Mus musculus: one gene and its partner. The main gene of each other region encodes a partner of the protein of the gene in region 2 in a complex. Links are inferred from orthologs where the notes say so. Each region holds a gene or a part of one and is shown on either strand. Other genes may lie near its edges.

The links. Proteins that work in one complex are often made in the same cells at the same time.
Region 1: Snw1 (region 2) and Scnm1 share a complex: the UniProt entries of both Homo sapiens proteins name them as parts of the minor spliceosome. The link is inferred for Mus musculus from reciprocal best matches to the Homo sapiens genes SNW1 and SCNM1.

Annotation. Positions count from the first base shown.
Region 1 is NC_000069.6:95,130,527-95,135,923, reverse strand, and holds the start of Scnm1 (sodium channel modifier 1), read left to right. Parts: upstream 1-1,911; 5' UTR 1,912-2,028; coding exon 2,029-2,079; intron 2,080-2,295; coding exon 2,296-2,366; intron 2,367-2,635; coding exon 2,636-2,724; intron 2,725-2,812; coding exon 2,813-2,907; intron 2,908-3,010; coding exon 3,011-3,099; intron 3,100-3,897; coding exon of another isoform or gene 3,898-3,937; exon of another isoform or gene 3,938-4,118; intron 4,119-5,397. Other genes in the region: Lysmd1 (lysM and putative peptidoglycan-binding domain-containing protein 1), read right to left, coding at 928-1,107. UniProt on the Homo sapiens protein: As a component of the minor spliceosome, involved in the splicing of U12-type introns in pre-mRNAs. Plays a role in the regulation of primary cilia length and Hedgehog signaling.
Region 2 is NC_000078.6:87,458,800-87,463,458, reverse strand, and holds part of Snw1 (SNW domain-containing protein 1), read left to right. Parts: intron 1-1,501; coding exon 1,502-1,597; intron 1,598-1,687; coding exon 1,688-1,794; intron 1,795-2,947; coding exon 2,948-3,052; intron 3,053-3,968; coding exon 3,969-4,038; intron 4,039-4,500; coding exon 4,501-4,566; intron 4,567-4,659. UniProt on the Homo sapiens protein: Involved in pre-mRNA splicing as component of the spliceosome. As a component of the minor spliceosome, involved in the splicing of U12-type introns in pre-mRNAs.

The DNA.
Region 1 (5,397 bases), on a different chromosome or scaffold from region 2:
TCACACTCCTAATCTCAGCAGTCATGATGCAAGAACACCGGAAGTTCCAGGCCACACTGTCTAGAAAATCCACCCCCCACACACACACACACACAAAACCCCACATCAAATACTATCCACTCCCACTTCCGAGCAAGACTCAATAGTTCTGGATCTCCGACCCCTTGTGGATATTCCTTACAGCATTTCTTGTTTCTTCTCTGCTCCTCATGAGAATTTAAATTCCATGAGCACATCGACAAACGTATGCTGTGTCTCCAGAAAGGCTTACCTTATGCTTTAAGTAGAGTGGCACAGGAATTTATCTAAACCCAACATTTGTTTGTATGTGGTAAAACAGGATATAGACAGGAAGGCTGCAACTTTAATGCAAGATATTTTTTATGCCCATCAAACCTCTCCTAAAGATGACCTGAAACACTTGAAGTATGTAGAGGGGACTTGTTTTGTGCCTCTGCACAAAGAAAACAGAGCCTTGGGGTGGAAATAAGAACTACAAATGGGCACCTTCAGAGTGCTAGTAAAAGTCAGCTCTTCCTTACCAGTCTCTACATCCCCACCCCCACCCCTACCCCACCCCCGCATGGCTAATAGTACCGGCTTTAGAGTCAGACAGAAACCTTACTCTGACACTTAAGTGATTCGACCTTGATCAAACTGGTTTATCAGTCTTAAGTTGATAGGGACACAAGTCCAGTTAATGGCTGTAAGCCCCGCCCCCACTCACCCACCTCCCTCACCATCTACAGGAGTTGCTCCTCCCACTGGGATAGTTGGGCAGATCTGTCCCAACAGTGCTCTGCTGAGATGTGAAAGCAAAATAAGGAAGAAAAAAAACAGACCATAATAGAATTTAAATAATGTGAGAGGGGGCATCTTAGCGGGCCACCCACTTTCTCGGGACTATCTCAATTCTGGAAGACTCACCGTTACCCCGTATTTGAGTGCTAATCCAGCCAGGGTGTCTCCAGGCTCCAATTGATGCTCCAGGCGTCTTTCCCTCACTGGGGAGCAGGATGATTGTACCAGGCTTCCATAAGAACGAGCACGGCTCCCATGCAGCAGCCCTGACCCCCCGAGGGGAGGCTGTCTAGAGGGAGAAGCCATCTCCTCACTGTCAAGACCTAGGGTCACAACTGAGGGAAGCCCAGCTAAGTAACAGTGACGGCCGAACCCAAGGAATGGATATTCAGATAATTCGTTTTCTCTTCTCTCGTCTCTCTACAGTCTCCCGACTCTCGAGAGACTACATTCGTCGTCCTCCTCTTGCTGCTTCTTGCCGTGCCTGGAGTTACTGTCCGTCTCTTAAGAAGTCTGCCAGGCCGGTTACATTTCTCTTTCCACGAGCTCCTTACCCATAAGTATCTTCCCTGAGCTGTCAGTCGCTGACCCGGTTGACTTTCGACGCCCCCTCCCCAACTCCTCGCAAGCCTGATCTCTGACCTTTGAACCCTAGACACCCTCATCAACACTCTTCCCTCAGTGTATCCCCACATCCAACAGTCGGGATGCCGGGTGCTCCCACATCCTCTCTGTTCCAAATAAGGCCCACCCCAGGTAGGTTGTGGCTGAGGAGTACGAGCCTGAGGACAGCAAGAGTTTGTAGTATATAGTCCACTGAGATCCCTGACGCCTCGCTCCACATCAGGAAGGTCCCACCCTGAAATTCCGGCTCCACATACAGGATCTTGAGTCTCCGAACACCTGGATCCTTCGAGATGTGAGGTCCTGTGTCCAGGTGAGCAGTGTGCTCTTCAAAAAAATAAAAAAATAAAATAAATAACCAAAAGACTTCATTTCCCAAAAGGCACAGCGTCTCAAAGTATTGTAGGAAATGCAGGCCCCCTCAGGGCGCTGGAGGCGGGTCTTCCGGTTCGCGCGACGCAAGCGTGGAACATCATCCCCGGAAGTACAGATTCAACAAGAAAGAAACCGGAAGCAGAGAAGGCGATAGTGTACTCTTTCTACGGTGGCCTAAAGGAGCAGCGAAGTAGGCGTAGGGGAATTTATCGTAGTCTCACAGTCGCTATGTCTTTTAAGAGGGAAGGGGACGACTGGAGTCAACTCAATGTGCTCAAAGTAAGCCTTAGTGAGAGTCTGATCACCTTCAGCCGCCCTGTTGTTTTGTTTTGTTGCTCTGGCGACATCTAGGGGAGGGCTTAGGGGACCAGAACTGAGTGGTGACCCCTACTACCCTATGATCTGCATAGCCCCGTGTGCCATTTGACTCCTTATCCATACTATTTCATTTCCATCCGTCCCTCTTACTCATTTCTCCTATCCTGCTCCCTGCAGAAACGGAGAGTTGGGGACCTGCTGGCTAGTTACATCCCTGAGGACGAGGCACTGATGCTGCGGGATGGACGGTGAGAGCGAAGAGTGGATCAAGCCTGGGGATTCGGGGATCAAAGGCTCAACAAACTTTTGTCACTAAGGAGTTCAGGAGTATAATAGGACTCTTTGGCTGGAAGTGAAGTGTAAGGGGTGGAGATCGGGAAACCTGGGAGTTGGTGGTGGAGTACTCTGACAGAAGTAGGACCTACTCACCATAGCAAGAACACCCCGACTGCAGGCTCTCGAACACACAACATACACACCACACACCACACACATCATTCACTTCTCGTTTCCCTAGCTTTGCTTGTGCCATCTGCCCCCATCGACCAGTACTAGACACGCTGGCCATGTTGACAGCCCACCGTGCAGGCAAGAAGCATTTGTCCAGTAAGTATCAGAGAAGTGGGGAGGGCGGGAGATGGAGAGCAAGCCACCAGGCATTGTGCTTTTCATTCCTCCTTGCTTTTGTTCTCAGGTCTGAAGCTTTTCTATGGCAAAAAGCAAACAGGCAAGGGAACAGAGCAAAATCCAAGACAGCAGAACGAATTGAAGACAGAAAGCAAAACTGAGGTGAGAGGGCATCAGGTGTGGTTTAGACAGGGCTATACTTCACACAACAGGCTTGAGGGAACGTTTGCTCCTAACAGCTCTAACTCTGTCTCTTCATCACCAGGCTCCTTTGCTAACCCAGACTCGAATCATCACCCAGAATGCTCTACACAGAGCTCCCCACTATAACAGTTGCTGCCGGAGGAAGCACAGGTCCGTGGAATGGGAAAGCCAGGAGTGGAAAAGGGTAGAAGGAAATAGATGACTTTAAAGTTATTGCTCTCCAGATTGTATTCTGAGAAATAATAATCTTGTGGAAATATTTTTTTTAAATGATGGTAGGGGCTGGACAGATGGCTCAGCAGTTAAGAGCACTGACTGCTCTTCCAGAGGTCCTGAGTTCAATTCCCAGCAACCACATGATGGTTCACAACCATCCATAATGAGATCTGGCGCCCTCTTCTGGGGTGTCTGAAGACAGCTACAGTGTACTCATATATATAAAAGAAATCGTAAACCATCATTTTTTCAGGTTTTTTGTTTTTTGGGTTTTTTGTTTGTTTGTTTTTTGAGACAGGGTTTCTCTGTGTAGCCCTGGCTGTCCTGGAACTCACTCTGTAGACCAGGCTAGCCTCAGAAATCTGCTTACCTCTGCCTCCCAAGTGCTGGGATTAAAGGCGTGCACCACCACTGCCCGGTGGTTTATGATTTTAAAATAAATTTTTTAGCAAGTGGAAAATTGTAGAATAATCATACTTATTAGGAACATTAGGGCTTGGTGAGATGCCTCAGTGGTTAGGAACGCAGGGGGCTCTTCCAGAAGTCCTGAGTTCAATTCTTAGCAACCACATGGTGGCTCACAACCATCCAAAAGGGATCTCTTCTGGCATGTAGGTACACATGCAGACAGAGCACTCCTATATTTTAAAAAGTGCAATAAATAAATACATTCAAAAAGAGAGAATTGTAACATTAGTAGAGCACGGTGGTGTACTTTTTGTTTGTTTGTAGCCCTGGCTGTCCTGAAACCCTGCTATTTAGACCAAGGTGACCTCATATTCACAAAGATCTGCCTGCTTCTATCCCTCAAGTGTTGGGATTAAAGGTGAGCACTCCATGCCTGGCCTTGGAAAATCTTAAGACAAAAACTTAGAACCAGCCGGGCAGTGGTGGCGACGCCTTTAATCCCAGCACTTGGGAGGCAGAGGTAAGCAGACTTCTGAGTTTGAGGCCAGCCTGGTCTACAGAGTGAGCTCCAGGACAGCCAGGACTACACAGAGAAACCCTGTCTCGAAAAACCAAACCAAACCAACCAACCAACCAAACAAACAAACAAAAAACTCTTAGAACTATGTATTAGAGCATAAGGAATATGGAAAGTTACAAAACTTATGGAATATCTGTCTATATTGAGGTAATTTATTGTAATGACTTACAGTTTGTAGTCATGTTGTTGGGTTACAACAATGGGCAGCTGTGAATGAGAAGTCTAAGAATCTAATAGTTGCTCAGTCCCACAAGGCTGGTTGTTTCAGCTGGTCTTGTATAAATAGGTTCTAAAGATGTGCTTGGCAAGTAAGTGCAAGCAGTGGAAGAAGAGTGAGTCTTCCTTCTTCCAGTGGTCTTATGTAGGCCTCCAGCAGAAGGTGTGGCCTACATTAAGGCGTGTACACCACACCTGGATCTGGGACTTGCTTTGTCCCAGGCTGACTTTGAATCAGAGTTCTCCTTGCCTCCTGGGATTAAAGGCATGTTATACCTTGCCTGGACCTAAGCTTTTCACAGCCACTGTGCCTCAAGATCTCCATGCCAAGATCCAGATCAGAAGCCTGAGTCTTCCAGCCTCAAGATCTGGATCACAGGTGTGCCCCCCAATTCTGGAATTTAGTTCATTCCAGACATAGTTGACAACTAGGAATAGCCATTACAAACTATTAAGCTAGTTTTTCCTCAAATTCCTTTTTTTCTCCTTTATTTTTTATTTTATGTGCATTGGTGTTTTTCCTGCATATATGTCCGTGAGGGTGTGAGAGGTGGAGTTACAGATATTTGTGAGCTGGCATGTGGGTGCTGGAAATTGAACCCAGATCCTCTGGAAAAACAGCCAGTGGTCTTAAACACTGAGCCATCTCTCCAGCCCCAGCTTTTCTCAAGTTCCTAATTCCAAGGTCTTTCTTTTTTTTTTTTTTTTTTAAAGATTTATTTATTTATTTATTTATTTATTATATGTAAGTACACTGTAGCTGTCTTCAGACACTCTAGAAGAGGGAGTCAGATGGTTGTGAGCCACCATGTGGTTGCTGGGATTTGAACTCCGGACCTTTGGAAGAGCAGTCGGGTGCTTTTACCCACTGAGCCATCTCACCAGCCCTCCAAGGTCTTTCATATGTAGAATATTTAAGATCTTAAGGAACTGGAGCCAGGCAGTGGTGATGCATACCTTTAGTTCTAACACTTAGAAAGCAGAGGCAGGTGGATCTCTGAGTTTGAGGCCAGCCTGACCTACCGGAG
Region 2 (4,659 bases):
TGTGAATATGCCTGTGCCTGTAGAGGCCAGAAGCTATATCCATACCCGGGCCTGCTTTTCTCTAATGAGTAAATCTCTATGCTCCTACCTTCTGAGTAGTTTTCCGAGGACTCCTCCCAGCCATGTTGCGTACTGAGATATGCCGAGTTTCTCCGGCACATTAGGTTTTCAGGCTGTAGGATGCCAGACTTCATAGTCAATTATCACAGAGGAATCCTGCTCCTCAGATGCCCCTCACTCTGCCTTGTAAGATGCTAGAATCTCACTCCTGCTAACTTTGGAATACCCAAATAAGCACAAAATGGCTCTTATGTACTAAATTAGTATTGAGACTATGTCAAACAAACATGACTACTTGGAAGCCATTGACTTAGGAGCTCCCTGTGATGACTGCCGTGTAAAAGTGGTCAACTCTTGGTGGTAATCTCAGTGCTCTTCTGCCGTGTTAGAAGATTTTCAGTTTGTGGTGGGGTAGATTTTTCACACCCTAAAAAGGAATCCGGCTTTTGAGGTGGGTTCCTGCTATGTGGTCCTCATGTACTGATCCTTACTCTTCTCATTGTTGTGTGCTTCTCGGTTCCTTATGAAGTAAACACGCTTAAAACATGATGCTAGCGGTGGCTCGTGTGTCAGTTAAACCTCTGCTAAATTCTCTCTTTTCCAATCCTTTTCATTCTTCAACACAGTAAGCTAAACATTTCAGTTTACAACTCTGGGAAATAAATACCTTGTGTAGAATGTTCTGAGCCAGGCACTTGGGTATGTCTGATATGTGGCCCTATCTTATTTGAGGGTGAGTTAGGAACTTTGCTGGTCCTGATAGAATTCATGAAGTAATCCTAAAATTGAATATAGAACAAGTTATATACTGGGATAATTCGTTTGTCTTGTTAATTTGCTATAACCCCAGAATCACTTGGGAAGGGAGCCTCAGTTGAGGAATTGTCTAAACGGAGTTGGCCACATGTAGAAGTCAGGCCACTATAGGCACCACAGTCCCTAGACAGAGAGATTCCTGTACTGTGTAAGGAAAGAAGGCTAAATGGGAGCAAACAGCGAGGGTCATTGTCTCTGCTTCTGACTGGGTCTGATGTGAGTACTAGCAGTGCGAGTTCTGCCGTGACTTCTCTCAGCAATAGACTCTGACTTGGAATTGTAAGCCAAGTAAACCTTTCCTCCCTGAGGGTTTGGTCAGGTTGTCTCTCACAAAGACAGACAGGAAAACAGTGGAGCCATAGGCAATGCGTATCGTCATCAATTTCAAGTTGTAGTGAGCCTCAACTAGAGATCACTAACGCACAAGATCTTATTGGCAGAATGTATCTGGATACTGACTTGAGTATTTTAAGCAATTTTAGTTTTAAAATCTGAACCACAAAGCTAGGTATCCTAAATGTGAAAATATGCTACAAGAACGTGTTGACATCTAGACTGACTTTGACTTAATGAGGCTGCTTTTCCATTCTCTGTATCCCTAAGCCTGCTTGTGTTTGGACTCTAGGTCATTTACAGCAAATACACTGACCTGGTTCCTAAGGAGGTTATGAATGCAGATGACCCAGACCTGCAACGGCCCGATGAAGAGGCAATTAAAGAGGTAACGAGGAATTGATGCATGTGATGATTTTAGATGACTTTATGTCCTTACTAATTTCCAAACCACTCAACATGGTGCTTCTTGTTTCAGATAACAGAAAAGACTAGAGTTGCCTTGGAGAAATCTGTGTCGCAGAAGGTTGCTGCAGCCATGCCAGTTCGTGCAGCTGACAAGCTGGCTCCTGCTCAGTATATCCGGTATGGAAGAGTTAGTTGCATGTCAGACTCAATAGGTGGGATTTCAATAACTCTCCCCAGCCTACAAAGCCTGTTAACTCCTGCTTGCAGAAGTTCTTTAACATACACACGTTTGGATGGTAACTGTTAGAGCTGGGTGGGTGCAAATGCATAAGAAAAGTCCTTTGGGGGGGCTGGTGAGATGGCTCAGCGGGTAAGAGCACTGACTGCTCTTCCAAAGGCCCTGAGTTCAAATCCCAGCAACCACATGGTGGCTCACAACCATCTGCAATGATATCCGATGCTCCGATGCCCTCTTCTGGTGTGTCTGAAGACAGCTACAGTGTACCTACATATAACAATAAATAAATCTTAAAAAAAAAAAAAAAAAAAAAAAAAGTCCTTTGGATCTCTTAAGTCTTAGGGCTGCCAAGATTACTTGGTATGAGACCCTGTCTCAAGAAAAAGAGGTGTTAACCATTGTGATCTTCAAATGGTTATGGTTTTGATTTTTAGGGGTTTGTTTCTTTTTAGAGAATAAGCCCCTTTCCTGTTGTATATGACCCAAACCACAATTGTTTATCTTTTTTTTTTATATTTAATAAACACTTATAATGTTCCTAAATGTTGAGGGCCTTCAGTGGACTGTGTGAGGAATGCTTGGAATAGAGCAAAAAGGAAAACATGGAGTTAGTAGGGTTTTGCCTGCATGCCCAGTACCCTGCAAGGCCACAAAGAGGGATCCGCATGAATTGAAGTTGCAGGCAGTGTGATTGGATATCGGTATTGGGAATTGAACCTGGGTCCTCTGGAAGAACAGTCAGTGCTGTTAACAGCAGAGCCATCTTTCTAGCCCTGGCAATTTTTTTCCCATAATGGGGAGAGAAAGTAGGTGCTTTCGACCTGCGAAGCTGAGGAGGAGTACTTCCCAGGTGGGATGTGGAGAGGATGAGAAGGGAAGTCACTAAGCACTCGAGTGCACATCTTGTTTGTGACTCGGTTTCTGTTGCTTTTCTAGTCTGTATCTGGCTGCCCTGCCTAAATGTGTGGTGATTTTATATCAGAACTTTCTGCAGAGTTGGAAGTATGGTCACTTTGGACTGTAGTAAAAGACAAATACCTACCAACAAAGCTTGAACTAATTACACCTTTAATTTTAATCTACTTTCTTTAGCTACACACCATCTCAGCAAGGAGTAGCATTCAATTCTGGAGCTAAACAGAGGGTCATTCGGATGGTAGAAATGCAGAAAGACCCAATGGAGCCTCCAAGATTCAAGTAAGTATACTGTTTCACAAGAGTGAACTGCTGCTGTTTTAAAGTATCAAACAAGAGGGAGCTGGAGAGATGGCTTAGTGGTTAAGAGCACTGACTGCTCTTCCAGAGGTCTGAAGTTCAATTCCCAGCAATCTTATGCCACATGGTGTCTTAGAACCATCTAAAATCCAATGCCACCTTCTGGTGTATCTGAAGACAGCTACACTGTACTTACATAAATATATTTATATTTTTAAGTATCAAACAAGAAAAGTGTCCCACATGTTCATCAACAGGTAAATAGATAAGCAAACATTGGTACATCAGTACCTGGAATATTAGGCCAAGAAAAGCCTTTTCAGATGAGTCTGAAAATAATTACACTACATGAAAGAAGCCAGACAGAAACACATAATACAATGTTATGTTTCTGTGTGTATATATAAAACTCTAGACCATGGTGTCAGCTGGATGGCTCAGAGGTTAAAGACACTTTCTGCCAATCCGATGACTAGAGGTCAGTTCCTTGAACTCACATGGCATGAGACATGAACCCACTCCTTGATAGTTGTTCTCTGACGTCCACACTTCCCAGGGTACATGCATACCTACCTCACACACAGATATTAAATGAATTAATTTTAAAGAATTCTAGAAAGTGAATTTACACTTAGTTATAGACAGTCGAGTGGTTGCCCATGGAGAAGTGGGTGGGGAGAGATCTGGGTCATGCACAAGGTGAGGGGTGAGGATGCTCACTGTCTAGATTGTTACCCAGGTGACTGGGTCGTATGCGTCATGTTTAATTCATTGTGGGTCACTTTTATCAACCTGGGAGTGCATTGTACTGTGAGGTGAGTGGTGACAGTGGCCGTATTTACCAGCTGACAAAAGCAAGCCTTGTGCTCTGACTGTTTCTCTCTAATTTATTCTTCAGGATTAATAAGAAAATTCCCCGGGGACCACCGTCTCCTCCTGCACCTGTAATGCACTCTCCTAGTCGGAAGGTAATCCTGCTATAGTCAAGTCTCACTTGTGATTCTAGTTTTACGAACTAAATGGACCCAGTTAAGACTAAAGTATAGTTCGGTGTGCTTCTGAGAATGAGTCCGTGGGAGCATGCTGGCTTACCCGCAGCAGCTCGAGCTCTGAAGTCAGGGAGTGGACAGATCCTTTTTGAGTTGCACAGTTGCCGTTTTCATCTGAAAGCTGCCATATTGCCCCACTCCTCCCAGTCAGCCATGTCTAAGTATGGAAAAGTACTGTCTAACATTTCTGATAATCTGAACTCTTCTCCTTTCTTCACATTAGTGCTCCTGTGACTACAGTTCACGCCATAGTCCACCCCAGCAGAGATTTTACTGCAATTGTCGTCCTGTGTTGATGCATGTAGAGATGTCCGTGGGGAGGGTCGTATTTGGGCTTCCAGTTAGACTGTAATAAACACGTCTCTTCTCACCTGCTTTCAGATGACTGTAAAGGAACAACAAGAGTGGAAGATCCCGCCTTGTATTTCCAACTGGAAGAACGCTAAGGTGATTACCTTCATTCACACACTGTCTCCTGGGGCTGTCCCTGGGGATTGCTCAGGAAGGAGTCGGAGCCTGGGAACATTCCTTGAAGTCTTA